Lonchura striata: one gene and its partners. The protein of the gene in region 3 purifies or fractionates together with the protein of the main gene of each other region. This does not show direct contact. Links are inferred from orthologs where the notes say so. Each region holds a gene or a part of one and is shown on either strand. Other genes may lie near its edges.

Evidence for each region.
Region 1: the proteins of VAMP4 (region 3) and STX12 purify together in Homo sapiens (affinity purification with mass spectrometry; 3 studies listed by BioGRID and IntAct, counting the BioPlex papers as one, with this or other methods). This does not show direct contact. The link is inferred for Lonchura striata from reciprocal best matches to the Homo sapiens genes VAMP4 and STX12.
Region 2: the proteins of VAMP4 (region 3) and STX6 purify together in Homo sapiens (co-immunoprecipitation; 5 studies listed by BioGRID and IntAct, counting the BioPlex papers as one, with this or other methods). This does not show direct contact. The link is inferred for Lonchura striata from reciprocal best matches to the Homo sapiens genes VAMP4 and STX6.
Region 4: the proteins of VAMP4 (region 3) and STX8 purify together in Homo sapiens (co-immunoprecipitation; 3 studies listed by BioGRID and IntAct, counting the BioPlex papers as one, with this or other methods). This does not show direct contact. The link is inferred for Lonchura striata from reciprocal best matches to the Homo sapiens genes VAMP4 and STX8.

What each region holds. Positions count from the first base shown.
Region 1 is NC_134628.1:5,437,192-5,444,838, forward strand, and holds the start of STX12 (syntaxin-12), read right to left. Parts: upstream 3,113-7,647; 5' UTR 3,074-3,112; coding exon 2,959-3,073; intron 1-2,958. UniProt on the Homo sapiens protein: SNARE promoting fusion of transport vesicles with target membranes. Together with SNARE STX6, promotes movement of vesicles from endosomes to the cell membrane, and may therefore function in the endocytic recycling pathway.
Region 2 is NC_134611.1:2,047,246-2,054,454, reverse strand, and holds the start of STX6 (syntaxin-6), read right to left. Parts: upstream 3,152-7,209; 5' UTR 3,104-3,151; coding exon 3,069-3,103; intron 764-3,068; coding exon 594-763; coding exon of another isoform or gene 580-593; intron 36-579; coding exon 1-35. UniProt on the Homo sapiens protein: SNARE promoting movement of transport vesicles to target membranes. Targets endosomes to the trans-Golgi network, and may therefore function in retrograde trafficking.
Region 3 is NC_134611.1:616,666-623,882, forward strand, and holds the start of VAMP4 (vesicle-associated membrane protein 4), read right to left. Parts: upstream 3,222-7,217; 5' UTR 3,056-3,221; coding exon 2,990-3,055; intron 1,810-2,989; coding exon 1,763-1,809; intron 1,463-1,762; coding exon 1,412-1,462; intron 1-1,411. Other genes in the region: MYOC (myocilin), read left to right, coding at 3,683-4,184, 4,628-4,747, 4,834-5,618. UniProt on the Homo sapiens protein: Involved in the pathway that functions to remove an inhibitor (probably synaptotagmin-4) of calcium-triggered exocytosis during the maturation of secretory granules.
Region 4 is NC_134621.1:1,093,845-1,101,063, reverse strand, and holds the start of STX8 (syntaxin-8), read left to right. Parts: upstream 1-4,029; 5' UTR 4,030-4,075; coding exon 4,076-4,092; intron 4,093-5,354; coding exon 5,355-5,454; intron 5,455-7,219. Other genes in the region: TBC1 domain family member 24, read right to left, coding at 223-1,258, 2,056-2,098. UniProt on the Homo sapiens protein: Vesicle trafficking protein that functions in the early secretory pathway, possibly by mediating retrograde transport from cis-Golgi membranes to the ER.

The DNA of each region.
Region 1 (7,647 bases), on a different chromosome or scaffold from region 3:
AGGGGAACCTGCTTTAGCAGGGGCTGGGCCAGGTGATCTCCAGGGGTCCGCTCCAAACCCAACAGTTCTGGGGTTCTGTGAAATGCAAAATCCCCACCTATACATGACCCAGCCTAACAAACTAACTTTCAGACAAGAAAGCGACAGTGAGGCATAGATACCCTCAAGAGAAGTCAGTGGTGCTGAGAGCTTGTGCACTCCTTTTCCTCATCCTTTTTAGACTAACAGAGCTGTTTCTACCAGCCTTGCTATTTCAGTATCTTAAGCTATCACTGCTGCAGAAAAACTTCATTATGCTGTGTTGCCACTTTTACATTGTTTTAAAGTTACTTCAATTATTAGTGCTCTGTTTAAAAAAAATAAAAAGAAAATGCCAAGTGTTGCTTTTAGTTTCAAAACCCCCTGCCCCAGACCTGAATTTTTCTACTCATGATAGTCCAAAGATTTCACAATACTGGCACAAATGATCTTTCGAGAACAGATAGCAATGTGCACCTCACATTTTGCCTTTGTCAATTTGAAATCTTGTTGTAGCACAGAAAGGTATTTTTGACCTCCTTCTCCCTTATCTCTGATATTTTCCCACTATTTTCTTTGTGTAGGCACTCATGATCATGAAACCACACAATGAATCACATCAAACCATTAGGTTACCTGAAAAGCAAGTACATTTTCTCTCCCCAGTCCCTCTACCTTAGAATTATTTTCTGACAGATCAAGAAGCTGATCCCCTATATTCTGCAGCAGCACAGATTTTATCATTACTGAAGTGCTGGGCTCAGCACTTAAAACAGCAGTACAAAGATTGATCCAAATCAATCATGAAATCTAAGCTATCTCATCATGCAGTGAGAAGCAAGACCAAGAAGAATCACCTTTATACAGTTCCACAGGCAACTGAATTGAACTGAATTATCCCATGAGTTTAACAAGTTTCTTCCAATTCAGAGACACCCTCCTGTTTAACTTCTGCTTTCAGCCTGGAGTCTCTGCAGTTGATTAAATGTGTTGCTGGAGAAGCATCACATCCCTACAATGACCACTTCTTTTAAAAGGATGTTCAATGGCTTACAAGGGCAGCTAAGACTGCAATACGAGTTAATCAGTAATTAGCCAGTAATTAGCTTTTACATTCTCCAAGTGTATTCTCACCTAGGACTTCAGATTTCTATTAGATTATACAATGAGGAGTTTGTTGGCAACTCCTCATATACTGAGCTTGGCTTCCAGCAAGCAAGTCTGCACATATTTCACAGTTCTGTCAGACACAGGAAGGTCAGAAAAATTCAGTCAAGCTGGTGACAAACAGCACAAGGACTGCACTCTGTGTGCGGATGCTGAGGACTTGGCAAACAGCATTTGTGCCATAATGTCCAGACATTCTGTGGCTTATTTCTCTCTGCATGGGGAGATTCTTGCACAGCACCATTTCCAAGCCAGGCAAAGTCTGTCCTGCCCTGAGCCAGGTTCAGCAGTTTGCTTTGCTTAGTTTATCTCAGCCAACAGCAACACGTACAGTCTATGCAAAAAAAAGTGTCTAGAAAATGGAAGGAAGAATAAAATGAATAAAGTGTCTAGGAAATGGAAGAAAGAGGCTGGAGCTCTTTATTCTTTGGACAGTGGGTATGCACCAACACACAGAGCCCCTCAGTCAACAGCTTTCCATCTCCAAGCCCTTTTAATTTCAGGCTGTAGAGCCTTCCTCATACTTACTATGTGACAGCTAAAATTTCTTGAAACACTTCAATCTCTCCTCTAGCTGCAAGTCTGCTACATTACCTGAGCAAACAACAGTTTTGCCAGCTTTGCCACCAGTTTTCTGTACATGTTGTGTGAAATGCTCACTCCAGAGACTCCCCAAAGAAGTGAGTAATACTCAGCTGTGCACACTGTTTGCCTGCTCTTTCCCTTACAGGGGAAGAAGAAATGAGGACAGCCTTAAGGCTTCAATACAGCATCTTCTCTTGGCTTGAATGGAAAGCTTTTATTCGGTGTGTAATGAAGTTAACTACTGTAACATTAAGTCAGATGTTCTGAGTGTTCCCACCCACCTCCATAAAACTGTACGGCTATTTGTTTAACTTGAGATAACAGTGCACAGAGATAGGATGGCTGCAGGTCATGAGACAGCAGAAGCCTGTCCCATGAGAGAGAGAAGCTGAGCTGCTTAGAACAGGAGGCTCAAAGAAATCCCGTGGAAGGAAGAAGGAAGGAGTGTAAAGGGAAAAAATAAAAAGGGGGGAAAAGGGAAAAAAAACCCTCAACAAGCCATGCTACTTGGCCAACAATTCAGCAATGTCTACACCAAGGAGAAAAGAACATGACTGAGCAAAACATTTTCAGTAACATAAATGTGTTTGCATCATCAGAGAAGTCACAAGCTTTCTGAGGAACCAACATATTCAACTGATCTAGCATGGGCATTGAACAATTAGCAAAGCCTGTATCTTCAGAAAGGATTACATCAAAGACTCTCCTGGATGTTACTGCCTTCAGTGACCAGTACTGAGATTTCTATAGTTATCGTACAACACCGGTAACTTTCTCTAATGACAGGAAAAGTGCACCTGTGTCCTTAGGGACATCCTGCCGGGAGCAGGACGCTGCCAGCACAGCGAGGGGGAAAGCCGCCCGTTCCACGCCCATTGGAGATCCCTGGGACCGCGGCTGCTCCCGAGCCCGGTGACAGCCGGCGCTGCCCCGGAGCCCTCACTGCGGGCACGCGATGCCAGCGAGCGGCCGGACTGCCCGAGGTGGGAAGGGGCGGCTCGGCGGCAGGCACAGACACCCACCGAGAGCGTTCACCGCGGCTGCAGCCGGGCTGGGCATCACCACACCCGGTGCCTGCCGTGTGCCCGGCCCGGCACCGCTCCGGCGAGGCTCTGCCCATCCCGGCCCCCACCGCACCCTCACGCTGCCGGGCCGGGCCGCCCCGTCCCTCCCCGGCCGCGCACTCACTGTACTGCGCGATGCGCTGCACGTTGCCGCTGCATGTCTGGATGATGCCGCCGAAGTCGCGGGGCGGCGGCGGCGGCGCCCCGGGGCCGCGCAGGTCCAGCGGCCCGTACGACATGGCCGGGCCGGAGCGAGCACCGGCCCCGCTGACAGCGCCCGCCCGCCCGCGCCTGCGCGGCCGCCGCGCCTGCGCGCCGGGGGCGGCCGCTGTGAGGGGAGAGCGGCGGCGTGAGGGCGCGGGCGCGGCGGGAGCTCACCCAGACCCGCAGGGAGCTCACCCAGACCCGCAGGGAGCTCACCCAGACCCGCAGGGAGCTCATCCTGCCCCACATGGAGCTCACCCGGCCCCACATGGAGCTCACCCGGCCCCTCATGGAGCTCACCCGGCCCCTCATGGAGCTCACCCGGCCCCACATGGAGCTCACCCGGCCCCTCATGGAGCTCACCCAGACCCACAGGGAGCTCACCCTGCCCCACCCGGGGCTCACCCGGCCCCACATGGAGCTCACCCAGACCCGCAGGGAGCTCATCCTGCCCCACATGGAGCTCACCCGGCCCCACATGGAGCTCACCCGGCCCCTCATGGAGCTCACCCGGCCCCTCATGGAGCTCATCCTGCCCCACATGGAGCTCACCCGGCCCCTCATGGAGCTCACCCAGACCCACAGGGAGCTCACCCGGCTCCTCATGGAGCTCACCCTGTCCCTCCTGGAACTCACCCAGACCCACAGGGAGCTCATCCTGCCCCTCCTGGAGCTCACCCTGCCCCATATGGAGCTCACCCTGCCCCACCCGGGGATCACCCTGCCCCACCGACCATCACTGCCATTGTAACCTTCAAACACTAAAACATCACCTAGCGCCACATTCCGCTGCCTCATAAAAACCTCCAGGAGTGGTGACTCCACCATCTCCATGGGCAGCCCCTTCGTTGGAAGAACGGTTTTTCTGGTATCTCATGTGAATTTCCACTGTCTCTGCTCAAGGCCATTTCCTCCTGTCCTCTCACTACAGGCATGAGAGAGAAGAGAAGAGAAGAGAAGAGAAGAGAAGAGAAGAGAAGAGAAGAGAAGAGAAGAGAAGAGAAGAGAAGAGAAGAGAAGAGAAGAGAAGAGAAGAGAAGAGAAGAGAAGAGAAGAGAAGAGAAGAGAAGAGAAAGAAGAGAAGAGAAGAGAAGAGAAGAGAAGAGGAGAAGAGAAGAGAAGAGAAGAGAAGAGAAGAGAAGAGAAGAGAAGAGAAGAGAGAAGAGAAAGAGAAGAGAAGAGAAGAGAAGAGAAAGAGAAGAGAGAAGAGAAAGAGACCAGTATCTACCTAGTACAATCTCTTCTTGGGGACTTGTAGAGTCCCCTTGTAGAGTCCCCTTGTGATCCCCCCTGAGTCTCCTCGAGACTAAGCAAACCCGCTTCTTCGTAAGACATATTTTTCTAGAACCTTCATGTGAAAAACGCCAATCACTTGGTTTTTAAAATTTTAAAAGTTTAATAATAATAAAATGGTTATAAAATAATAATACAATTAGAGTAATAAAGTTTAGAGTTAGGACAATTACAAGACAATAAAAAGCAAAGAATTACGGACATCTGGATGCTCTCACACTAAGTCACGACAAGCATGACTTGTGAACAAAGGAATCACCCTTAAAACAATACACTTGTTGCATATTCATATATCCTTCATGGTTATGCATACATTCTATTTAAAACAAGAAACTCTGTTGTATGTCAACTGTTCCTTTAATCCCCATGGTGTCTTTGAGTCTGAGCAGGACCTGAACAAATTAGCTTCTTCTGATAAGAAGCCATAAATTCTTCTCCTTGGGAAGATTTAGGTGTTCCTCAAAGTGAGTATTTCATTCCTAAAAAAAAACTTCCCCCACATACATAATCTCTATTTTAACATTATGTTGGAACCTGAAACTACATTTAACACACTACTTAAGAGAATTAATACAGCATAACTTTCTAACATTACACATATAATATTCATTTCAATATTTGTGAAAAGACAATCATAAAATTTGCATTTTTCACACTTCACAAGCCTTGTTGCCCTTCTCTGGACACTCTCCAGCACCTGCATGTCCCTTTTGGAGTGAGTGGCCCAGACATGAACGCAGCGCTTGCACTGTGGCCTCACCAAGGCTGAGTGCCGGCGCCTGGCCTGGCCCTGCCAGGACAGCCAGAGCTGCAGGCAGTGCCTGTCGGAATCTGAGGTATTGATGATTCCGAGATTGTAAAAATCTCTGTCTTTCAGCCCTGCTGAAGCCATAATTGGTCTGTGCTGGTTTCAAGGTTGTTTATTCTGTTTATCTCTAACATGTTCTGCTGCCCTGCCCAGCTCTGTCCTGCAGGGCAGCGTGTGGGGCTCTGCCCTCAGTGGGATGTTACAAACATTAAATACCAGAAACTCCCTGGGCTGGATTTACAATAACGTGCCAATATCTGTCACCTACGTTGGACAGTGTGTCCCCAGCCTGAACCAACAGAAAAATGCCAACACCACAGTGAGACATGGAGGGCATGAAGAAGGAGAAAAAGGACAAGGCACACCCAATTTCCTCCATCTTGTCCCCTTTGGACCCCTAGAAACCTAAAATTTTACTTTTGCACCCGTGCCACACTTAATTATGACTTATATCAAACACTCAGAGCTGGTAATTCATCCTGTGAGATTGAAAACTCTTTTCCATGGGCAGAGATCACAGCCAGTGTCTCTGGGGGCTCTGTCCAGGGGGGTTCCTGACCCCTGCCAGGGTCCCAGACCTGCCAGGGCAGCCAGAGGGAAGCTCTGGATTCCCACAGGTGGCAGGCTGGGTCTGGAACAAATCCTGCACCGTTTGGAATTTCAGGAGAAATCCTGCACCGCTCAGAATTTTAGAGGGTGGCAGCCCACTCCGAGCCATGGGCCCCTGGACACAAATGCTGCTCCTTCCCCTGTAAAAATAAACTCACCCCACAGTATGTTGATGTCCATTTAGAGGAGGCGTTTAGCAGTGCCAGGGCAGCCTGAGTTATTGGTGGTGGCAGCTTTGTTCTGGGAGAGATCCTGTGCTGTTTGGAACTTTAGGAGGTGGCAGCACACTCAGGGCACAGCCCCTGGACACGAACACTGACCTTTTTCCATGGGAAACGAAACTCACCATCCCAGGTTCCTGATGTCAGTTTGCAGGAGGTGCTTGGCACTACCAGGACAGCCCGAGTTGTAGATGGTGGCAGGTTTAGTCTGGGAGACATCCTGTGCCATTCAGATTTTTAGGACATGGCAGCCCAGCAGAGGCACTTCCCTGTCCCTGCTGGGTTCTTGGTCCAGGAAAAAGGAGCCCTGCCAGGGTGAGGGCTGCTGTGACAGCCTGGCCTAGGGTGAGGAAGAGCCATGCTTCCAGTACTGAGCAATCCCACCAGCAATAATGCAAATGTAAAGGATTTTAAGAGAAGATCCCTTTCTGCTCCCTGCTGCAGGAGTTGTAGTATTTTAATGAAAGTACATCCAATCTTTGAATAAAAAAACTGGGGTCATGCCCTGTATGTTCTTAAGAAATTAGTGTATGTGTGCGTAAAGTAGGAGCGTAAATATTTCTTTAAAAAATGCTTGTTACAACAAAAAAATTCTAATTTCAGAAGCATCCACATCAGGTCAAAATGATGGTAAATAGGGAGCAGGGCCGTGGATGAAACTTGTGTAATAGAGTAAGAGAAGGCTCCAGGGTGGTCTTATTGTGGCCTTCCAGTGCCTGAAGGGGCTCCAGTAAAGTTGGAGAGAGATTTTGAACAGGGGATGGAGGGACAGGGCAAAGGGGAATGGCTTCCCACTGTCAGAGGGCAGGGGGAGATGGGATATTAGGAAGAAATTCTTCCCTGTGAAGGTGGTGAGGCCCTGAAAAGTAAACTTTCCCATCTGCCCACCCAGATGCCACTCTGGGAGTCACACTCATACCAACCTGCTACATTAATGGAAGTGGGATGATGGGACAGGGGAGCTTATGGGGCAGGAAAGGAGTTTTGCAGGAGGATTTAAAGTGACAGCAGTAGCTTTGAGGGGATCCCCATGGTGCTGCTGTGCTTACAGTGTGTTCTGCTTCAGCAAGGAGGATTCCCAGGGCTCTGGCTTCTCGCTCTGTGTTCTGAGGGTGCACAGTGTGACGATGTCACCACTGTTACACATTTCCCACACGTTCCTGCATTTCTGGAGGAAACAGCATGGCTGTGGGAAGGATGGGGCCAGCACCTGCTTCTCAGAAGGGACCGGGTGTTGTGAACCACAGGACCCTCAGCACTCATCACCTAGGTCTTGGTGCTCTGCCCACAAACTCCCTACCCAGCATCCAGCACCTGGAAACCTCAAACCCCACAACCCACATCTCGCACTTGACACCCTGCACTCAGCACCCCACACCCAGCGCTCAGTACCCAGCACCTGGAAACCTCAAACCCCAAACCCCACAACCCACATCCCACACTTGACACCCCGCACTCAACACTACACACCCAGTGCTCAGTACCTAGAACCTGGCACCCCTCACCCGGCTCCTCCACACTCTGCTCCCTGTTCCCCACACTCCGTTCTCTGCACTCCTCTCCCTGCACTCCTCCCTCCGCTTCCCGCACTCTGCACTCCTCTCCCCGCACTCCATTCCCCGTTCCCCATACTCCTCTCCCCGCTCCCAGCACTCTGCTCCTCGTTCCCCGCTCTCCT
Region 2 (7,209 bases), about 1.4 Mb from region 3:
GAGGTTGAATTTCCGTGGGTTTGCCTCCACGATGCCTGGGCACCGAGTCAAGGAGTGCCCGAAGTGGGCTGGTTGCCCACATGGATACACAAACCCCAAGCCTGCCAAGGGGCCCCTGTATTCTGCCTCTTCCCAAAATCTGATTAGCAAAGAACTGCAGGCTGGATGGAAAAGGAGACATGGCAGGAATGTGCTGTGAAGCACACACACAAGGTTTCTCTTTTCCATGTGGTTTTTTGGTTCTGTGATGCTGGGCAGTGTTTTCAGGAGCACTCAGAGGAGCACGAGGGACAAGGAGTATTTCTGGAAGGCAGCCTAGAAAATGAACTGAGCCTGCAGAAATGCAGATTCACACAACACAACAGGCTTTCTAAAACAAAGCCTCTTAGAATATACCTTGCAAAAAGGGAGACAAAAAGACAAAAGGAAAATCCTTTACTTAATTTCTCATTTGCAATTTGAGAAAAGCCAATGTGAATGCAAAATTCAATCCCAAACAGTCCTGATTTTTGCAGAGGAACAAGCACTGGGACTTTGCTATTTAGTACAACCTGAGAACTGCAACTACCTCCAAAGGGCCAAAAAAAGGATATTAATGGTTTCATCCAGGTCTTCCAGGTCCCACTCGATGCTTCGCAGGTTGTTCCTGAGCTCATTAGTAGTCCAGTCGATTTCTTCTCTTGTGGCAATGGAGGGATCTTGCAAGAGCTCTGTCCACCTCTGGAAGAGCCCCTGGGCAGTGTTCACAGCTTTCTGCACCTCCCTGCAGGTGAGTGAAGAGAAGCCAAGAATTATCACTAGCTGCCCTGCAGCAGTGACACTGGGACAGCCCCGTGTCCAGCTGAGCAGGAATGCCACAGCTTCCTCCCAAACACCCCTCCTTCCAACAACTGCGTGTTTATTTTGTAAAATAAAGATCTGCCCTGAATCTCACTGCAGCATGAAGTTATTCATGAAGGGACCTATTTCTTCAGGGGAAGCTGCTGAGTGTCACCCAGGCAAGCCAGGGCAGAGGGTCTGAACAAGGCAGCTCTTTGGCAATCCACACTTTGCATTCCTCTCTCTACAGTTTTCCTCTCAAGGCCCTTAAGTACCCATGTAAGATACCCCAAGGGCACACAGAATTACAGGAACTGTCCCCGCAGCACAGCCAGGCAGACTGTTGAATGCAGAACTGTTTATTTTAATTCAGCATTTAAAAAAAATACACAGGCCTACTACGCTGGCTTAGGAAACACAAGTTTTTTCTGCTGCTCTAAGCTCTTTTGGAGACGAATGCATTCACAGCGGGGGAAGGCACTGCTGACACATCTGGTTTGGGGCAAGCAGGTTTGTAAATTTGGGTCACAGACTCTCAGTGTGGCTATGTGCATTTACAAACTCTGCGGTCCCAAGCTCTGAACTGCTCCCCCAGGTTCACCGGGGAGATCAGATGATGTGCTGGTGTCCAAGGAGGCCACCATGAGCTTGCACACAGCAGTCAGGTGTTTCACCCCAGTGAAGGAAAGCAGGGGAGGCCCAGGGCAGATGAACTGACGTGCCAGGACTGCACCTCTGTAAGTTCCACCAGGGCCTGATCCAGCTGGTCCTCCAGTTGCTGTCTAAGCTGCAGTTTCTCAGCACTCTGATGCATGTCCCTCCTCTTCTCACACGCCTACAGCTCCGAGTCTGCCACTCTGAGTGCCCTAAAGCCAGCAGCCTGCACTGAGGATCTGGAAAAATTCATTCCCTCCTCTACTTGCCAGCACAAGTTTTGATTTTATTTGGCTGGGTTTGTTTTTCCCCACACTTGTGGAAGTCCCCAGCAGCAAGAATGTAAAGCAGAGCTGGGTGTCCTCTGATGGGAGGAGTTACAGACACCAGAAAAGCAAACTAGTAGCAATTCTGGTGGCTACACCACCGGCAGCCCCTCCGACCTGCCAGGTAATAATTAACTGTGGGAGCGGCAGCACATCCCCTTCCCCCTCCCTGCCCTTCCCCACCGCTGCAGGAACATCTCTGGAAAGTTTGACAGGACGTTTGCTCCCCACCCATGGCGACTCCTACACTTTCCTCTAAGCACGAGTTTATCCTGGTGAAGGGATTCATTTTCCCTGGCTGTACCAATATCCATTCCCACACTTCTTCTCACATGGCTCTCCCAAAACACCCCACCAGGAGCCCCTCTGCTGCTCCTTGGGGCTGTCTCGCTGTGACAAGGGGCAGGAGAGCAGCCCCCAGCACAAGCTGAAGGTGGCCCGAGGGCAGTGTTCAGTGATGGAGCTGCTTTCACAGAATCACAGAATTGCTGGTGCTCTGTGGGTCATCCAGTCCAAACCCCCTGTCATTCACTGTCACCTAGAGCAGGGATACCTCCAGATGGGTTTGGAATGTCTGCAGCAAACTCCATGAAGCCTTTTCCAGTGCTCTGCCACCCTCACTGGAAAGAAGTTCTTCCTCACCTTGAGGTGGAACTTCTTGAATTTCAGTTTATGGCCTGTTGCTGTAAAGGGTCTGGCACCATCCTCATAACACGCCTTAGAGACATTTGTATGGAGTGATGAGATCCCCTCTGTCTTCTCTGGGCTAAACAGGCCCAGCTCGTCTAGTGTCTCCTCACCAGAGAGATGCTCCAGACCCCAAATCATCTAGGTGGCCTCCACTGGACCCTCTGCAGTAGCTCCAACACAGCTCCTTTCACCCTATTAATGACAATTTTCCTTCGGCTGGTATTTCCCTGCGTTCAGGCTCTTCGCTGCAGGCTTCCTCTCACGGCCATTGTTTATCCCACAGCTCGCTCCCTGCTCCCTGCACCTTTCCCACTGTCCCCAAGCCGCACCTGCAGCCAGGCCCGGGCCCAGGCCTCACGGCAGCGCCCCCGCACCGGCGAACAGGCCCCGGACCGGCGCGGAGCCCTCACAGCCCGGGGGCCGCCGCCATCTTCCCCCCCTCACAGACCCCCGCCGCCGCTCGCCCCCGCTCCGCCGGCCTCCCGAGCCTCGCCGCGGCCCTGCCCGCCCCCTCCGCGCCGCCGGCGGGTTACGCGTCCCCGCGGCCGCGTCCCGGCGGGCGCGGGGCGCGGGGCTCACCCCTTCACCACGAAGAAGGGGTCCTCCATCGACATGGCGCTGCCGCCGCCGCGCGCCTCGGCCGCCGCCAGGCCCCGCCCGGCCCGGCCCCGCCCGCCCGCGCCCTCCGCCAGCCCCGCCCGCCGGGGGCGTGGCCGGGTGACGTCAGCGCGCACGGCGCCGCGGGGCGGGAGCGCTGAGGGGGCGGGAGCGCTGAGGGGGCGGGAGCGCTGAGGGGGCGGGAGCGCTGAGGGAGCGGGAGCGCTGAGGGAGCGGGGGCGCTGAGGGGCCGCGGCTTCGTCCCGGTGCTGCCCGGGCAGTCCCGCAGCTCCTCCCGTAGCTCCTCCCGCAGTGCCCCCTGTCCCTCCCACCTGAAGGAACCCAGGCCTGGTTCAGGAGTTACATGTGGTGGAAAAGTCTCTCTTCCAACCCGTGCTTCCAAAGAAAACTCAGCAGTCTCTGCTGTCCGGTCTCAAGGCAGTTTATTGCGAGTTATCTAAAAGATTTTCTTCTCTGCTGCTGTGGTTTGCTCAGAGCTCAGGCAGAGGCACACACACACCCTGACATCCTCTCTGACTCCCGACTGCTTCTTCTCTCCCCGCCCAGGGCTGCTGCTCTCGTTTATATGGTACATTGCGTGTGACATGTTTACAATTTTTCCCAATGCCCATTACCTATATTAAATGGTGATTTTCTATCTTTTATATGGTACATTACATGTTACATGGTTACAGTTTTCCCCCAATGCCTATTACCTGTATTAAATGGTGCTTTTCTATCTTTTATATGGTACATTACATGTTACATGGTTACAGTTTTCCCCCAATGCCTATTACCTGTATTAAATGGTGCTTTTCTATCTTTTATATGGTACATTACGTGTTACATGCTTACAGTTTTTCCCCAATGCCTATTACCTATATTAAATGGTGCTTTTCTACTCTAAACCAATCTGAGAGTGCCAACATCACCAAGAACATGGAGGTAAGGAAGAAGAAAGAGGAGGAAAAGGACCGGCCTGCATTCCTCCATCTTAAAACCTCTGACCCCCATGTACAGAACAAAAAACCCCCATGTACAGGTGTTAAAACCCGCTTGTACAATACTAAAAAATTCTCCCCTCTACTTTATAACCACTTCTACTATAACATTTAAACTTTCGTGACTTCTTGTTCTTCCTGCAAGGTTGGTAACTCATTCCATGGCTCAAACCCAAAATCACAGCTGTTTCCAGCTGCCTGCCAGGGTCTCAAATGCTTCTGACCGGGGCCTGGAACCTCCAAAAATGTCTGAGGGACATTTTGAGTTCCCACAGCCACCCAGCGCATCACGCCCAGCATGGCTCAGGGTGGAAGGGAACTCGGCGGTGCCGCCTCCCTTCTCACCCCCGAGCACGTGGCACGGGTTGTGTCCCCATGGACCTCTCTGGGCCATCTGTTCCATTGCCCTGAAACGTAAATTTTAAGGGGTTTAGAGATTTTAGAGGAGCTAAGATTTTAGTTAGAGATAAGCCCTACTAGAGTTAATTAAAATAAATGAGTAGGCCTTGATGAAGTTAAGAGTTAGCAGTTGACTAATAATTGATTGCTTGTCAGCACAATGTTGTCGCCCTGATTTTTAAGATTTTCTTAAGCCTTCTGAGTTTACATTCTGTTAGAGAACTTTCTCACACAACTTTCTGCAAACAACCTATTGTTTTGCATTCCTTCACAGAGGTGGAGAAACTTGATGTACTGGTAGTTTGTCCAATGTCATTGGAGAGGTGGCACCTTCACCCTCCAATCCACTGTCACCTTTGGAAAAGTATAAATGCTGGAGTCAGAAAATAAACTTCCTCTTTTTCACCTTTGCAATAGCAGCGACTCGCATCGTGCTTTTACGTGTCCTATAGTGACACAATGTTTAGTTAGCTGGGTTTATAATGAAGAATACAGAGACTGACAAACAGCTTTTAGGAACATAAGACAATTGTGGGCCTCGTCTGTTCTGAAACCAATTGAAGACAAGGAATGGGAGTTCTACCAAGATTCATTTGTCATATTTGCATTGAAAAGGTAGAAAGGTCAGAAGGAGGAAGACTTCATTGACTTCCTCATTTTGGGACCCCTCCCCATGAAAGGGACACCGACCCATTTCAAGGGACAAACCACGCGTGCTGAATGGCTTTTGGAGTGATTAGCATACAAAGCGAGGAATGGGATGTACCAAAATGATGAATATGTATTTGTATTTTGTGTATTCAATACTTGTATGGATAAAAAGGCTCTGTAACCACCTGGAAGGTGCAGTGTGGATTTGGGAGCGATCCCGCACAAAATAAACACACACCTTTAACTTTATACTGTTAGAGAGTTTTTGTCCTTGACTGTTGGATATCAGTACTAGATCAATATCCACATTTTTTTAATAAATCAGCCCTGTGAAAAATGCATATTATATGGCTCTATGCAGATAGCTGCTATATGTATTACGCTATATTGATTAGTTGTGCTTTTGTAGTTAATATGAAGACTTTAGGAGTTAAAAAAAAATAAAGACTCTGTATGTGGGGGGGAAGGTTTTTTCTGGTTTTTTCTTTTTTTTTTTAGGAATGAGACACTCACTTCGAGGAACACCTAAATCTTCCAAAGGAGAGGAATTTATGGCTTTTTATCAGAAGAAACTAATTTCTTCAGGCCTTGTTCAGAACCAAAGATGCCAGGGGGATTAAAGGAAACATACGTCAGAGTTTCTTGCTTAGAATAGAATGTATGCATAACCATGAAGGATGTATGAATATGCAACAAGTGTATTGGTTTAAGGGTGATTCCCTTGTTCACAAGACTTAGTGTCCGAGAGCATCTGGACGTTGTCGTAATTCTTTGCTTTTTATTGTCTTGTAATTGTCCTGACTCTAAACTTTATTACTCTAATTGCATTACTATTTTTATAACCATTTTATTATTAAACTTTTAAAATTTTTAAAAACCAAGTGATTGGCATTTTTCACAGCCTGGTTACTCCTACAGTGACAGAGCTTCCTTCTGTTCATGTGGAACTTGCTGAACATCGGTTCCTGCCCCTTTCCTCCTGTGTCCTGATGGTTGGCACCACCGAGCGGAGTCTGGCTCCATCTTCTTGGCAGCCCTTCCTTAGAGCCCAGAGGTGCACACAGCACCCCAAAAATGCTCTCATCAGGGCTGAATAGGGCTGCAGGATTGCTGAGTCCAACACTTCTCTCAGCAGCCCTATAATGACAGAGGTGGTTACACGTTCCTGTGTTCCCCTTGCCACAATGGTCCACAGTCCTTAGCACCAGCGAGACCATGCAGAAGGTGGTGTGTGTGCCATTCTTTGGGTTATATGGATTAAAGATAATAATTTTTTTATTTTGGAGAACTAAAAGCAGCCTGCTCAGTGCAGAGAGGAAGTGAGGTAAGGTGTTCGAGCACCATCTTCTCACACACCTGCAGTTAGCAGCAGTGTTGTTCATGTCCGGCTCCTCTGTTGGGAAGGAATTTTGTGCTTTATGCTAAAGCCAGGAGACTAAACCCCTTCCTTCTCACAAGATTTGCAGTCTTTCAAACCTCATATAAACCAGCCAGCTGGCCTCCTTCACCCGGTTTCACAGAGCAAAACCTTGGCACTGTGGGGCCCTGTCCCTGGCACGGGGTGCCCGGCAGGAGTGGCCCAGGCAGGCTGTGTTCCCAGGCAGTGAGGGAGGAAGCAGGAGGGAGTGACAGGCAGCCTGCTCGGCTCCTGCTGCCCTTCCTGCCCTGCAGAGGCACAGGCACGGCTTCCTTCCTCCCCTTCTGTGGGGTGAGAACAGCCCTGTGTCGCTTGGATGCTGTCCATGCCCGGGTGGGGATCCCTCATTCCCACCTCTCTCAAATCTCTGGGCTCTTTAGGAGCTGAGCACAGGTAGCCCTGGGCTTGCAGCAGCTGGCAGGAGAGGGATGGTGCCTGCAGAGCTCTGGGAGATGTCCCCATCCACATACACACAGCCTTACTCCCACGTGAGTTGATTTTGCAGAGGCTTGGCCAGGAGGAATCCCCCAAATTTTAAGCAAAGAGCACATCCTGGCCTGTGCTTCCCAAAGGTGGCAGTGGCCCAGCATCCCGAGCAAAGGCAGGGAATGGGCACAAACCCCATTTGCAGTGGTGCCTCCTCAGCATGGGAACA
Region 3 (7,217 bases):
TGGGCAAGCCTCATGTGTGGGCCATAGTCACATCACACCTATGGATCCACCAGCTCCTGGCTAAATGCTCCTTTCACTTTTCTTCCTTTTCACAGGTGCAGTGTCCTCCTCTACCTATGCCACTGCTCCCTGCTACCAGGCCGAGACAGGCAAGAGAAGAGCTCCTGTTTTCTCCCAACAGGGAACACAGCACACACTGTAGGTGCTGTCCAGCAGAGGAGGATGAAGGGATGGACACTACCCCATCTCTACCTTTCTATGGAGGTGAGACCCCACTCCTAAACCCAATTCTCAGCTTTCTCACTCCCTCCAGATCATGCCCTAGAAGGGAGGACTGACTTCCTCCAAAGAGCAGTTCCTCTCTACCAACAGCATCCTCACACTCTGGAGGGAACAGAGATGCCCTGAAAACTCAGGGTGCAGCCCCTGCCCTCTGCCTCTTGTGGAGCTCAAGTGCCCTTCACCCCTCAAGATAACAAGCAAAGCCTAATGCTGATGGTAGCATGAGTCATCCCAGAGCTGTGCTGGCTTCTTCCTGGCATGGAAAAAAAATCCCTAACCAAGAGCCACACACAGGCTGCAAACAAAGAATAGTCTGAACAATGTCCAGGCAGCAGTACCCACACAGATCTCTGTCCTGCCTCCACAGAGATCAGCAAAGGAACAGGGCAACACAGACCAGAGGTCTGTGAGTTAACCCCACACTTCTGATTAAGTACCACCACCGCATCCTTCACAGGAAAAACTGGAGCCCTGAACAAGCTTCATCCAGGAAATGACTCGATGGCAGAAGGATTCAGAGTGTTCACTCCTTCCTTCATGCCCCACTCCTCCTCCAGCTGTACTGGTTTCCTGTTTTCCTGCTGCTTTGACCCCAGTGAGTCACGGCTCATCTCCAGGTCACCTATATCAGGTTTTTACCTGCAGAAGGGGATGCCAGAGGACCAGCTGCTGCCTGAACCTCATGGTCCCGGTGTGTTCCTGACCACTTACTTTCTTGAAACGTTAAGGAGCATGTTACAGGATGAGGTAAAAAAAAAGCCTCAAAAATAAAAAAATGTTACTAGGAAAGGTTAAAATTCAGGGTTAATGATGTAGAGAAAGAGCCTCACAAAAACATTGAACAGGTCACCACCAGAAAACAGCAAGGGCTTCAGAAACTCCAATAAGCTACTGTGGTGTAACCTGATCCCCTTCCCTCTGTCAAAACACAATTTCTTGACAGGCTGCATCAAAACTAAGATTTCCTTTAGCTGTGGATATGTGGATAGGACATACTATTTAGAAGAACACAGGCACAAGGAATGTTCATAAGATGACCTACACAGAAATACTCTGACAAGACAGCAGCAGGAGCTCACAGTGCCACAATAAATTATTATCTCTGTGACACTAAGCAACAGCAACTTACTGCCTGATCTTGTCATTCCTGGGTCCAAACCTGGGTCCAGAAGGCCCCCTCCTGCAGGCAGAAAAGAGCAAGCAGGTCAGGTACAATGAAAACATGTTTTTAGACCAGACCCAAATGATCTGAGGAGAGAACCAACGCCTTGTGCACAGTGTATTGTTTTCATACCTCCCATCAGTCCCTCCCACAGATCTTAGGATCCGTGGGATCTCTCCCTCTTACAAAAGGTCACACCTATTAATTCATGTTCAAGGCCAAAGCTCTGGAAGAACATCCCAAAGGAGTCAAAGGTTTTCATTCCCAAGCCCCCAGCCTCAGAGCTGCAGGCAGGTATGACACTGCACTCCAACTCACAAGAAAAAGTCTTCCTCTTCATCTGAGTCTTCCTCCAACAGGTTCCTCTGCAAACACAGAAAAAACATTTCATCAATAAGCAACCACCAATTCATACCCATATTTCCAGCTCTTAGGATGCAATCAGCATCCCCTGACTGAAGGAAGGCCCTCTCTGCTCAAGGGACAATCCCCAGCCCTGCACCCAAAATCATTAGATCACCCACAGACACTCTGGGCTGTCCCATCCACACGGGAAATTGGATCTACTGGATTTGGAGGACAAGGTTTCTCCTGTATCTGATGGCAGCAGGTGTAAGAGGAATGACCACAAGGGAACACACTGGCTTCCTTGGGCTGGAGGGCAGAGCAGTCTGGCAGCTCCTCTGTTTCACCCCAAAGGGCTACTTGGGGCTCCCCTTTGCTGATCCACTGCACTCCATGAGAGGATCCAAAACCTGTTTTTTAAGAGGAACCCCACAATCCCACAGAAGTCTGAATGTTGCAGACAAACACATTTTTGCTTAGGGTGAAAAACAATCTAGAGGGGGAGGTGACACAGTAAAGGTGTAGGCCCAGGGAGCAGCAGATGGTCCTTGGGGTGCCAACAGTTGCTGCTGGGCTCCCACCTGCAAGCCTGATACTCTGATGTTGCAGCTCACCTACATTTCCATCCTGGCACATTTGCTCAATTAATGAACATGCAACACCATGCAATAATTCCAGTCACTGCTTCCCTCAAGGGAGAAGCAGCCAGCTCGTGGCAGCTGTCGGGAGCTGCAGCAGCATTTCCGACCACAGCCTAAAGCGAACTGTAGCACAGCCTGACCTAGGCAGGTTAAATCCACTTTGTCCAAACCAGGCAACTGCCGGGACCTGTACTCAAAGCATGACATGTGAGGGGACCGTGATGACGGGAGAAAAAAAGTCAGCTGTAACGCACAGGGTGACTTCACTCAGCTCCTTCAGCCAACGTGGGCAGCAGAGCCAGGCCGTGTCCCTGCCAGGCTCTGCGGAAGGGCAGGAGGCCGGAGCACACCGGCATCTCCTGGCCACGGATGCGGCCTGAGGGAGCCGCAACAGGTTCCCAGAGCAGCCGCGCCGAGGCCGGAGTGACACACGGAGCGGGGCCGGCGCTCGGGCAGCCCCTCGCCGGCGGAACAGCGCTGTCACCGCGCTCCGGGCTGCGGGGCCCGCGGTGCGGCGGCACAGAAACGCGGCCGGGGCAGCCCCGCCGCGGGCACTCACCCGCTCGCTCTTCACCGAGCCCGTCACCTCGTCGTCGTTCAGGTGCCGCTTGAATTTGGGAGGCATGGCCGGTCCGTGCCGCGGGGCTGTGCCCGCGGGGAGAAGCCTGGAGGGGAGAGCAGGGAGCGCCGGGCAGGCCCAGGACGGGACCCGCCGCCCCCGCGCTCAGCGGGCCGGGCCGGGCCGGCGGGAAATGGCCGGTGCCGGAGAGCCCCGTCACCGCCGCCGCCCCGCCCGCCGCGCCGAGCGCCGAGCTACCGATGGCGGGCGGGCCGGGGCGGGGCGGGGCCGGGGCGGGGCGGGGCCGGGGCGGGGCGGGGCGGGGCCGGGGCGGGGCGGGGCCGGGGCGGGGCGGGGCCGGGCCGGGGCGGGGCCGGGCCGGGGCGGGGCCGGGCCGGGGCGGGGCGGGGCGGGCCGGGGCGGGGCGGGGCGGGGCCGGGCCGCCCTCGGCCGCTGGGTTCGGTTCGGGCCCCGGCCCCGAGCGGCCCCCGCGGGGTTCGGCCCCGGGCCCGCCCGCCCCGGCGTCACCGCTGGCACACGGCCTCAGCGGCTCCGGGGAGGCGGCGCGGCAGTGCCGGTGCCCCGCGGGCAGCTGGAAGGCTCCGGGTCGCCCGCCCCCCGCCGCCCCGAGCCTCTCGCTCTATAAATGCGGACGCCGGGGGCCGGCGCGCTGAGAGCGGCGGCGCCGGGGCCATGCTGGGGGCCTGGCTGCTGCTTTGGGGCTCCGTGGCCCTGGGCGGCCGAGCGGACACCGCCTTCCTCCGCCGCGCCCATGACGGCTCCGGGCACTGCACCTACTCCTTCACGGTCGCCAGCCCCGTGGAGGCCGCCTGCCCCGAGGCTGCCGGCGGCGCGCCCGAGCTGCGCGCCGAGCTGGCCGCCCTGGCCGCCCGCCTGAGCCGGCTGGAGAGCCGGGAGCGAGCGGCGGGGGGCTCGGGGCCGCGGGGAGCCGAGCCGGGGGGCGCACGGGACCCGCAGCGAGCGGCCGCGGCCTCCCGCCTGGAGGCTGCGTACGCTGAGCTGCTGCGGGCCAAGTCCCGGCTGGAGGAGGAGAAGGGGCGGCTGGAGAGGGAGAAAGAGGAGCTGGGCAGGCGGCTGGAGAGCAGCGCCCAGGAGATCAGCCGGCTGCGGGCCGCCCGCTGCCCCCCCGGCAGAGAGGGGCCCGGGCGGGACGCGCTGCGCGCCCCCGCCAAGGGTAAGTGCCGGGCCGGCAGCCCTGTGCGTCCCTGCCTGCCTCCTCCCCTCCGGCCGAGTCCCTCTGCGGCCCCGTGCTGTGCGCCACTGCTGCCCCCCACTCCTGGGGACCCCGCCGGGTTCAGCCCTGCCCGGGAGGTCGCAGCCCATCGCCCCATAGCTCTCTCCCCACCCCGCCTCATCCCATCCCTCATCCCATCGCCTGCCCCGCAGCAGAGGGGGGAGGTAGGGTACCGTGCTGATCTGGGCTATTAGCAGTTTCCCCCAAAGAGAACGGTCACAGATGTGCCCTGCTGCAGTGGGAGGGGGCACCGGGCTCCTGCCCAAAGCATGGGCATTTCTGCGAGCAGCAGCCCGGCACGGAGCCCCCCGAGGGCGGCGGCAGCAGGCAGGCGGTGAGGGGGCGGCTGAGCCCCGCTCACGCTGTGCCCGACCCCGCTGCAGCGCCGCGCTGGGAGCCGCAGCCGCTCAGCTTCCAGGAGCTGCAGTCGGAGAGGACCGAAGTTCCCGTGTCCCGGCTGCTGGAGGAGACGGCGCTCGGCCGCCCGGGCAAGGAGGACGCAGGTACGGGCTGCCGGGCCGGCCCCACGTCCCGCGGCTGACGAGGGGCTGGCGGTGACCCCTGTCTGTCCCGTCCTGTCCCCGGGCAGGCTGCGGCCAGCTGGTGTGGGTGGGAGAGCCCGTGGTGCTCGGCCGGGCGGACTCCATCGCGGGCAAGTACGGCGTGTGGATGAAGGACCCCGAGCCCGTGCCGCCCTTCACGCGGGACAACACCTGGCGTGTGGACACCGTGGGCACCGAGGTGCGCCAGCTCTTCCAGTACGAGGAGGCCGAGCAGCTGGCCCGGGGCTACCCCGCCAAGGTGCACATCCTGCCGCGGCCCCTGGAGAGCACGGGCGCCGTCATCTACCGCGGCGGGCTCTTCTTCCAGCCCCGCCAGTCCCGCTCCGTGGCCCGCTACGACCTGCGGGGAGAGACCATCACGGCCGAGAGGGAGATCCCCGGCGCCGGCTACCACGGGCAGTACCCCTACTCCTGGGGGGGCTACACCGACATCGACCTGGCGGTGGATGAGACCGGGCTCTGGGTCATCTACAGCACCGAGAAGGCCCGGGGAGCCATCGTCCTGTCCAAGCTGGACCCCGAGACGCTGGAGATCCGTCGCACCTGGGAGACCAACATCCGCAAGCGGGGGGTGGCCAATTCCTTCCTCATCTGCGGCACCCTCTACACCGTCAGCAGCTACTCGGCGCCCAACGCCACCGTCAACTTTGCCTACGACACTGCCACGGGCACCAGCCGGGCCCTCGGCATCCCCTTCGAGAACCGCTTCCGCTACCTCAGCATGCTGGACTACAACCCTGCCGAGCGGCGGCTCTTCGCCTGGGACAGCTTCAACATGGTCACCTACCCCGTCCGCCTCTCCCGGGCGTGAGCCGAGGCTGGCGCAGCCCCCGGGACCTTCGTGCGGGCCTTGGCACCCTGCTTCCCTCCCCATGGCCCCCGGCACGGCCGGGAGCGCCGCCTCACACAGCCTCGGTGGTGCTGGGGGCCACACGCTGCCCAGCCACATCGCATTGTGCCCAAGCGCAGCAGAGAGATGAAGCACGGCTCCAGAGCCTGGCCGAGCCAGGGCAATGCCTCTCACCGGCCTCGGGGCGTTTCGGGTGGGTCACAGCTGTACCCAGCCCTGAGCTGCTCCAGCACCTCTCTGAGCACCCAGCCTACCCACCCTGAATGTGGAGCACGGAGGGCTCGGGCACGGTGAGGGCTGGGCAGAGCAGGTGGTAGAAGGGTTGTGCAGGAGGTTCCTGCCTTAAAATAAGCGTTTTTCCCTAGTTGTGAGCAGCGATCCCCTCTGTGGGGTCAGGGTTTGTTGTTTCCAGGCTTCAGCCTGCAGAGCTCTCATGCAGAGATCCCACAAGCTCCACTGATATCCCACACTCCCAGTGCCCAAGGGCATCCTGGAGCTCAGCCACCTCCAAAAATCATCGAGTAGGCTCAAAAGCAACAGAAAATACAGACACACATTGCACAAGCCTTGTTTTATTGAGGAAAAAAGCTGCCAAGAGAGCAGGGGTGAGGAGTGCTGGGAGAGCATCCTGCAGCCGGGTGGTCTCTTGGTACCCAGCCCTTCCAGCCATGTGCTTCAGCTTTACAGGCCACCCCAGGCCAGCAGCTCTCCCCACACCAGTCCAAAACACGCTGCTTTATCTATTTATTATAGGAGGGGAGGCTTCTTTCTCCCTGTGGCGCTTGGGGCAGAAGCAACCACATTCCCCAGGGGCTGCATAGGGTCCTGGCCCAATAAACATCACCCAGCACCTCTGCTGCCTCACACCTCATCTTTCCAAGCCTGTTTTCCAAGGAGTGTGGTGGGCTGGTACCCCTCTTGATGCACCGACAGGCTGAAGGTGCTGGTGAGGGGACCTGTAAAAGCCTTGAGCAGGAAAATGCCACATTTTGGAAGGCAGCTTCTGACAGCAACACAACAGGTACTGAGCAGTGGAAAAGGACAGAGAATGCAGTGTGACATTTGTGATGATCACCAGCAGCTACAGGGATTTTCAGTTGGATGCTTCACCCCACCGCTGTTCTCCTGACACTAACACTTGTAAGTGTAGCAGCACTGTATGTTTGCATATCACAATGAAGTATTTGGTTTATCCATCTTCCCCATGCTTTATTTTGGAAAAATACAAGATGGTTTTAAAAAGTGAGACAATATGGGTAAGATATTTCTGGTAAGCTGCAGGGGGGGGCAGCAAGTTGGTGCCCAGCATGAAGAGGGAGGAAGCTGAAAGACCCATTCCTGCTCCTGGGCAGGCCCAGAGCCAGGCTGGGAATCTCACCTGAGCCAGGGCCAGTGAAGGTGTCCCTGTGGCCAGTGCTGGCCCCAGGTTCCACAGCAAGGCTCAGCCCAGGAGGGTCAGGGGCACATCACCCCTGTCACTGTCACACACAGAGCTGGGGAGCCCTGGGGCCAGGGCAGGGGAGAGCCAAGCAGGCAGCAGCCAGGGCCAGCAGTGCCCGG
Region 4 (7,219 bases), on a different chromosome or scaffold from region 3:
GCCGTGCCCCTCAGAGGGTCCCCCAGCTCTGCTGTGCCATGTCCCCTGACAGGGTCCCTGGTCTGGCTGTGCCGTGTCCCCTGACAGGGTCCCCCAGGGGCTGCGAGGGCCCAGCCCAGCCACAGCTCTGGGAGGTTCCTGCAGCTCCCCCGGGGGCTCTCCACAGGAACTCACATTGTGGCAGCTCGGCCCCAGAGCTGGGGAGTGCAGAGCTCTCCTCACCTTCTCTGCACCACGGTGATGCCCCTCTCCACCAAGGCCTTCCTGTTGGCCATGTGGAGCAGCCAGATCTCCTTGCGGGAGAAGAGGCGGATGCCGAAGGCTCTCTCCAGGAGTTTGTCCGCAGACACGTGCTCGGCGATGTTCCTGACGAAAGCCTGCAGCTCCGCCTTGACGTCGGAGCCCTGCAGCCCGGCCGGGGCCGCCGAGAGCCGGAACTGCTTCAGCAGGGCCAGGGCGATGCGGTACAGCACCTTCTGGCCCTCCAGCAGGAACACATCCAGCACGCGCACGGCGTAGCCGAAGGGCAGCCCGGGAAAGAGCCACGACAGCCACTCCGAGTAGACCTCGAGGACGTTGTCGGCGGCGCCGGCGATGAGCTTGTGGGCCGCCGGGCAGTGCTTGCTGGCCAGGTCCCCGAAGGTCATGCAGGAGGCCTGGTGGGCCAGGAAGGACTGGTCGATGTAGGCGGCGTGGGGCGCATTGCTGGCGATGAGGCGCGAGAGGCTCTCGAAGCACTGGGCCTCGTCCTCGCTGTAGTGCAGCAGCAGCGCGGCCAGCGCCGGCAGCAGGGGGCTGTGCGTGATGTCGGGGAACAGGGCGCCCACGCACACCAGGATCTTCTTCAGGGCCGTGACCCCGTGCGGGCTGAGGCAGTAGGTGGGCACGGGGCAGCCCTCCAGGAACTCGGGCAGCGGGTGGGAGCTGACGCTGCGCTTCCCGAAGAGCCGGCCGGCCACGTCGCGGTAGGCCGGCGCGTCGGGCGTGACGAGGCGGCAGGAGACGCGCTGGATGAGCCGGGGGTAGAGCCGGGCCCGGCCCGCGTGGCTCCGGGCCCAGCAGCCTTCCCTCGCCAGCCGCTTCAGCTCCTTCGGGGGCCTGCCCAGCACGTCCCGCGGCACCGGCGCCGGCCCCCGCGGCTCCGGCATCTTGTCCCAGTCCACGAAGGGCCCGCGGCCCCGGCACGAGGAGGTGTCGATGTCCCAGGTGTCGGCCTTGGACGTGACCACGATGGTGACCGGGGCCGAGCCGAGCATCTCTGCAGGGCAAAGAGCGTTTATTGAGCACCTTTCGCCGCCCCAGCCTGGCTCGGGGTGCTCTGAGCCTCACAGCCACGTCCGTCCTGGATTTCTTTGCTCTCCCCTGCAAAGGGAAGCGTTTCAGGCTTTGCCCTCTCCATCAGCTCCGGGCCCCGAGAAGTGTGGGGCCAGGTCCCAGCTGGGTGTCAGGGCTGCTGCTCACACCGCGAGGGGCTTTTCACCCCCCGAACGCTGCCAGCCCCGGGGCAGGGCTCGGGCAGCCCCAGCCCGGCGCTGGCAGAGCCGAGCCCGAGCTCCGCCGGGAGACGGGAGCGGCGTTTCCCCGGGGCTGCGGGAGCTCGGGACGAGCCGAGCCCGCCCGGGTGAGCTCTGCTGAGCCAAGGGGACACGGGGACAGCCCGTGGTGGCACAGCTCCGGCTCTCGCTCTCCTGCTCAGCTCGGCGCTTGCCCGAGCCCAGCAGGAGCAGCGGGCCGGGCTCAGGGCCGGAGCTGCTGCATCCGGAGCCGCTCCTGTCCCGGACACAGCCCGACCCCAGCACGGTCACGGGGGCTCCTGGCCGCAGGAACCAGCCTGAGACAGCACCGGCGCTGAGTCGGGGGCTGTCTGCGCCCCAAGTTCACCTCGGCTCTCTCAGGGCGCTGCCCGGGTACCGCGGAGCATCATCCCGAGCCCCGCCGGTGCCCGGCCCCGGGCGCCGAACGGAGGCTCCGGCTCTGCCCGCCCCGGACGAGCCGCGGGGCTCGGGGCAGGCACCGGGCTGTGCCCAGCCCCTCTGACCCGCCCGGCGCACTCACCTCGCCCGGTGCCCGCGTCCTCGCCCGCGGCCGGCTCGGCCATGGGGCAGCGGGGCCGGCTGAGCCCACCCGCAGCATGGGCCAGCCCGGCCACCCCGCGGCTCCGCTCTGCCCCGCACCTGCCCGCGCTCTTAAGGTGCGGCCGGCCCGCGGCCGCGGGGTTTATTTGGGGTAAACACAGCGAGGGTGGAGCAGCTCCGCGCCCGCATCGCCCCTTCCTGCCCCGGTTCCGCGCCGGGCCCGGCCGGGGGCTGTAAACACCCCGTGGGCCGAGATAGCATCAAACAGCAACACGAGCAGTAAACGAGCCCTTTATTTTCCCCAGGATAACCTTCGTGCTCCCGCTCGGCTGCGGCTGCTGCGGGCCGGCCGTGGGCTCCGGCGGCCCCGGTGTGCCCCGGGCAGTGGCTGGCACCGATCGGTGCCAGCCTCGGAACGCGCAGTGAGCGCTGTGCCCACGCACGGAAGAGCTGAGCCGGAGGAAAAGCGGCTCCAGCAGCTGCGAGAGGCTCCCGGGACACCGGCCCGGTCCCGCAGCGCTGCCGCAGAACTCCCAGCTCGGGCTGTGCTCAGCGGGCACTTTTATAGGCATCCCAAGCTTTTAAAAGATGTTTATTTGCCTTTAAAATCGGATTGTTTCTGGTGTGATAAGAGCAGCTGCAGGTTGTTCCTGACCTGCCTCCCTGCCTGTGAAATATGAAAGATGTAGAGGCCGTGGGGCTCGGGCTGAGCAGCGCAAGCCGAAGGCCATGAATGTTTGATGGCCGCGGCTGCGGGAGCATCTCCGGGTGTGCGGAGAGACGGGCCAGGGGACAGAGCCCAGCCCGGAACGGGGGAGCAGAGCGGGGATCAGTTCTGGAACGGGGATCAGAACACGGATCAGTTCTGGAACGGGGGAGCAGAACACGGATCAGTTCTGGAATGGGGGAGCAGAGCGGGGATCAGTTCTGGAACGGGGAGCAGAACACGGATCAGTTCTGGAACAGGGGAGCAGAGCGGGGATCAGTTCTGGAACGGGGGAGCAGAACACGGATCAGTTCTGGAATGGGGGAGCAGAGCAGGGATCAGCCCCGGAACGGGAACAACGTGCTGAGGAGATGCGCTCGTTCTCGTTATCAATGTCGTTATCACTATTGTTATGATTGTCCCTATCGCTGCCGTCATCGCTGCCGTTATCAGCACGGCCCCGCATCACGAGGGCGACAAAGCCTCGCTGGCTCTGTCAAACTCCTCGGGTTTGTGCCCCATTTGCGTCACCGGTCGCCCCCAAAAACAAAGGGAGAGGGCAAACCCCGGTGGATCAGGGGTGGGAAGGGCTCGGAGCCGAAACAGCGACAGTGCCAACACCTCCAGTGGCACCGGGACCGGGGCACGGCGACATCGGCATGGGCAGCGGCTGTCCCCGCAGATGGGCAGGGACAGGGGACAGCGCTGGAGAGGGAACCGGTGCCACCGCTCAGCGCTGGGTTTCTGTGGCAGCAGGGAGGGGTGGGGACAGCTGTGGCTGTGTGCTGTGCACATCTGCACACATCTACACCTGAACAGCCTAAACACCTCTGCACCTTGTACTGCAAACCTCTGTGCATGGAACCTCTGTTAACCCCGAACATCTGCACGTGTCCCTACGCCCCGCACATCTGTCCCTGCACTCTGCACACCTGCCCCTCTGTCCCGAACACCCCAAACATCTGCCCCTCTATCCCGAACATCTGCAGCTGTCCCTGCACTCTGCACACCTGCCCCTCTGTCCCTGCAAACCCCGAACATCGGCCCCCCTGCCCCGAGCACCGGCCCTGCCCTCCCCGCTGCGCCACCGGCGCCGCTCCCCGCACTGCCGCCCCTCGGGGGCCGGCTGCGCTGCCCGGGCCCGAGCCCCGGTACCTCTCTCCATCTCTCCATCTCTCCCCTCTCTCCCCATCTCTCCCATTTCCCTCTCCCGTTTCCCTTCCCCTCCGTCCCCTCCCGGCGCCTGCGCGCCCGGGCGGATCCGGCGGAAGCTCCGGGCAGGTTCCGGGCCGCGATGGCTCCGGACCCCTGGTGAGCTCCGGGCCGGGCCGGGCCGGGCCGGGCCGGGCTGCGGGTCGGGGCCGGGCCGGGAGCCGCCCCGCGGGGGCTGCGGAGCGTGCGGGGAGCGGGGCCGGGCGGGGCGCGGTGTGCCTTCCCAAAGCCCGACCCGGTGTGCGTGTGTTTGTGTTTGTGTTTGTGTTTGGGGTCTGTGCCTTCCCAAAGCCCATCCTGGTGTGGTTGTGTATTTGGGGTCTGTGCTGCCCTTCCCGGGCTCCTTTCCCAAAGCCCATCCCGGTGTGTTTGTGTTTGGGGGCTGTCTCTGCCCTTCCCAGGCTCCTTTCCCAAAGCCCATCCTGGTGTGGTTGTGTATTTGGGGTCTGTGCTGCCCTTCCCAGGCTCCTTTCCCAAAGCCCATCCCGGTTTGTTTGTGTTTGGGGGCTGTCTCTGCCCTTCCCGGGCTCCTTTCCCAAAGCCCATCCCGGTGTGTTTGTGTTTGGGGGCTGTCTCTGCCCTTCCCAGGCTCCTTTCCCAAAGCCCATCCTGGTGTGGTTGTGTATTTGGGGTCTGTGCTGCCTTTCCCGGGCTCCTTTCCCAAAGCCCATCCCGGTGTGTTTGTGTTTGGGGGCTGTCTCTGCCCTTCCCAGGCTCCTTTCCCAAAGCCCATCCTGGTGTGGTTGTGTATTTGGGGTCTGTGCTGCCCTTCCCAGGCTCCTTTCCCAAAGCCCATCCCGGTTTGTTTGTGTTTGGGGGCTGTCTCTGCCCTTCCCGGGCTCCTTTCCCAAAGCCCATCCCGGTGTGTTTGTGTTTGGGGGCTGTCTCTGCCCTTCCCAGGCTCCTTTCCCAAAGCCCATCCTGGTGTGGTTGTGTATTTGGGGTCTGTGCTGCCTTTCCCGGGCTCCTTTCCCAAAGCCCATCCCGGTGTGTTTGTGTTTGGGGGCTGTCTCTGCCCTTCCCGGGCTCCTTTCCCAAAGCCCATCCCAGGCTTTGGGGCTGTGTGGTTTTTTGGGGGTGTTGTGCTTTCCCCTCCCGAGGCTTATACCGGCGGGTCGCAGCACATCCTGGCGGGTTCTAGCCCATCCTAGCCCATCCCGGCTGATCCCATGAGATCCCAGTTGATCCCATGAGATCCCAGCTGATCCCAGCTGTTCCGGGTGGGTCCCAGCCCATCCTGGCTGATCCCATGAGATCCCATCCCATCCTATCCCATGGATCCCATCCCATCCCAGCCCATCCCATGGATCCCATCCCATTATCCCACGCCACGATCCCAGTATCCCGCTGTCGCTCTGCAGGCTGCCGCAGCTGGCCGCCGCCCGCCAGCTGGCCCAGGACATCGCCGAGAAGCTGCAGGAGCGGAGCCGCTGCCAGCGGAGCGGGGAGAGCTCGGCCAAGGTGCCCCGGCGGGGGCGGGACCGGCGGGGCTGGGGCCGGGATTGGCTCGGGAGGCGGAATTCCGGCATGCGAGGAGGAATTCCCGGGGTGCGGGGAGGAATTCCAGGATGGAGCTGTCCCAGAGGCTCTGGGATGCTGGGATGGAACTGTCCCAGAGGCTCAGGGATATTGGAATAATGGGATGGAGCTGTCCCAGAAGCTCAGGGATCAGGAATAATGGGATGGAGCTGTTCCAGAGGCTCTGGGATGCTGGGATGGAGCTGTCCCAGTGGCTCAGGGATGTTGGGATGGAGCTGTCCCAGAGGCTCTGGGATGTTTGGATGCTGGGATGGAGCTGTCCCAGTGGCTCAGGGGTGTTGGGATGCTGGGATGGAGCTGTCCCAGTGGCTCAGGGGTGTTGGGATGCTGGGATGGAGCTGTCCAGAGGCTCTTGGATGCTGGGATGGAGCTGTCCAGAGGGTCTGGGGTGTTGGGATGCTGGGATGGAGCTGTCCCAGAAGCTCAGGGATCAGGAATAATGGGATGGAGCTGTCCCAGAGGCTCTGGGATGCTGGGATAGAGCTGTCCAGTGGCTCAGGGGTGTTGGGATGCTGGGATGGAGCTGTCCAGTGGCTCAGGGGTGTTGGGATGCTGGGATGGAGCTGTCCAGAGGCTCTGGGGTGCTCAGCAGCTGCTCTGTGCCCTCTGTCTGTGAGCAGGGAGCAGATGTTCCTCCCCCAGGGCTGGCTCCTGCCTTTTGCAGTGCCTGCAGGTCAGAGGGAACAGGAATCTTGCAGCCGTGTTTTAGCTGCATTTCTCACAGAATGCAAGCCCAGAGTTAACAGGAATGAGAAGCAGCAGTTGGAGCTTCCCCAGGAATGTTGTGTCCTCCACGTTTTCACACTCCCTGTGTAAGAAATAAAATAAAGTTAGGGTTTTCAGGAGACTGCTTTCCCTGGGGCTCCTTTCCTTCAGGAGCAGCTTTGAGTCATTACCTGCTCCCTTGGCTGTGTTCAGGTGAAAATTGCTGCAAGCCCTTGAGTTGGTAGTTTTTAATAATTGGCATAATCAAAGGTGCAGTGCTTTTTCTCCCCCTCTCTGTATCAGGGCTGTAATGCAGTGCCTGATCACTGGATCTGCTGGGCCACTCACTTTGCTGAGAGGTGTTCAAATCAAATGTCATTTTTGAAATGTTTCCTAGGAAGAAATTCTGAGGAAGAGTGTGTAGGCTGTGCACAATAACCAGTGCTGCTGAATGGCTGCCTCACTTCAGCAGGAGTTGAGCAGGGGTCTCAGAAACCCCAATAAGTGGGATTTGGGAGCAGGATTTTCTCTGGCTGTGGAGTGTTTGGAGGTGCAGATTAAATTCCTGCTTTCAGGATGGTGAAGTGTCAGAATTGCACAGATACTCCTCAACAACAGAAGACCAATAAAAACTTGCTGCTCAGTCTGTATTTATGGAGGGCAAAGTTCTCTGCTGCCATCAGTGGCACCTCTGAGGAGCCCAAACCCCGATGGAACATGGGGCTGGTGCTGTTTGGAGCCTTTCTGGGGCTGGAACTCTCCGGGGTTGTGTTTGTGGAAACATTGCACGGGTGACTGACTCCTCCATAAAATCATCTGTCCCATGGCCTGCGTTTTCCAGCTTCCTTTCATCCATTAACAGGTAGAGAGGAATATTTGGCAGGGTTTGATTCTACTCTAAACAAGGTTCCAGCAAGGAGAGAGGTGTTTTCATAACAGAAATGTCTGTTGAGAAACCCACGGCTGAGCAGCCACATGTCCT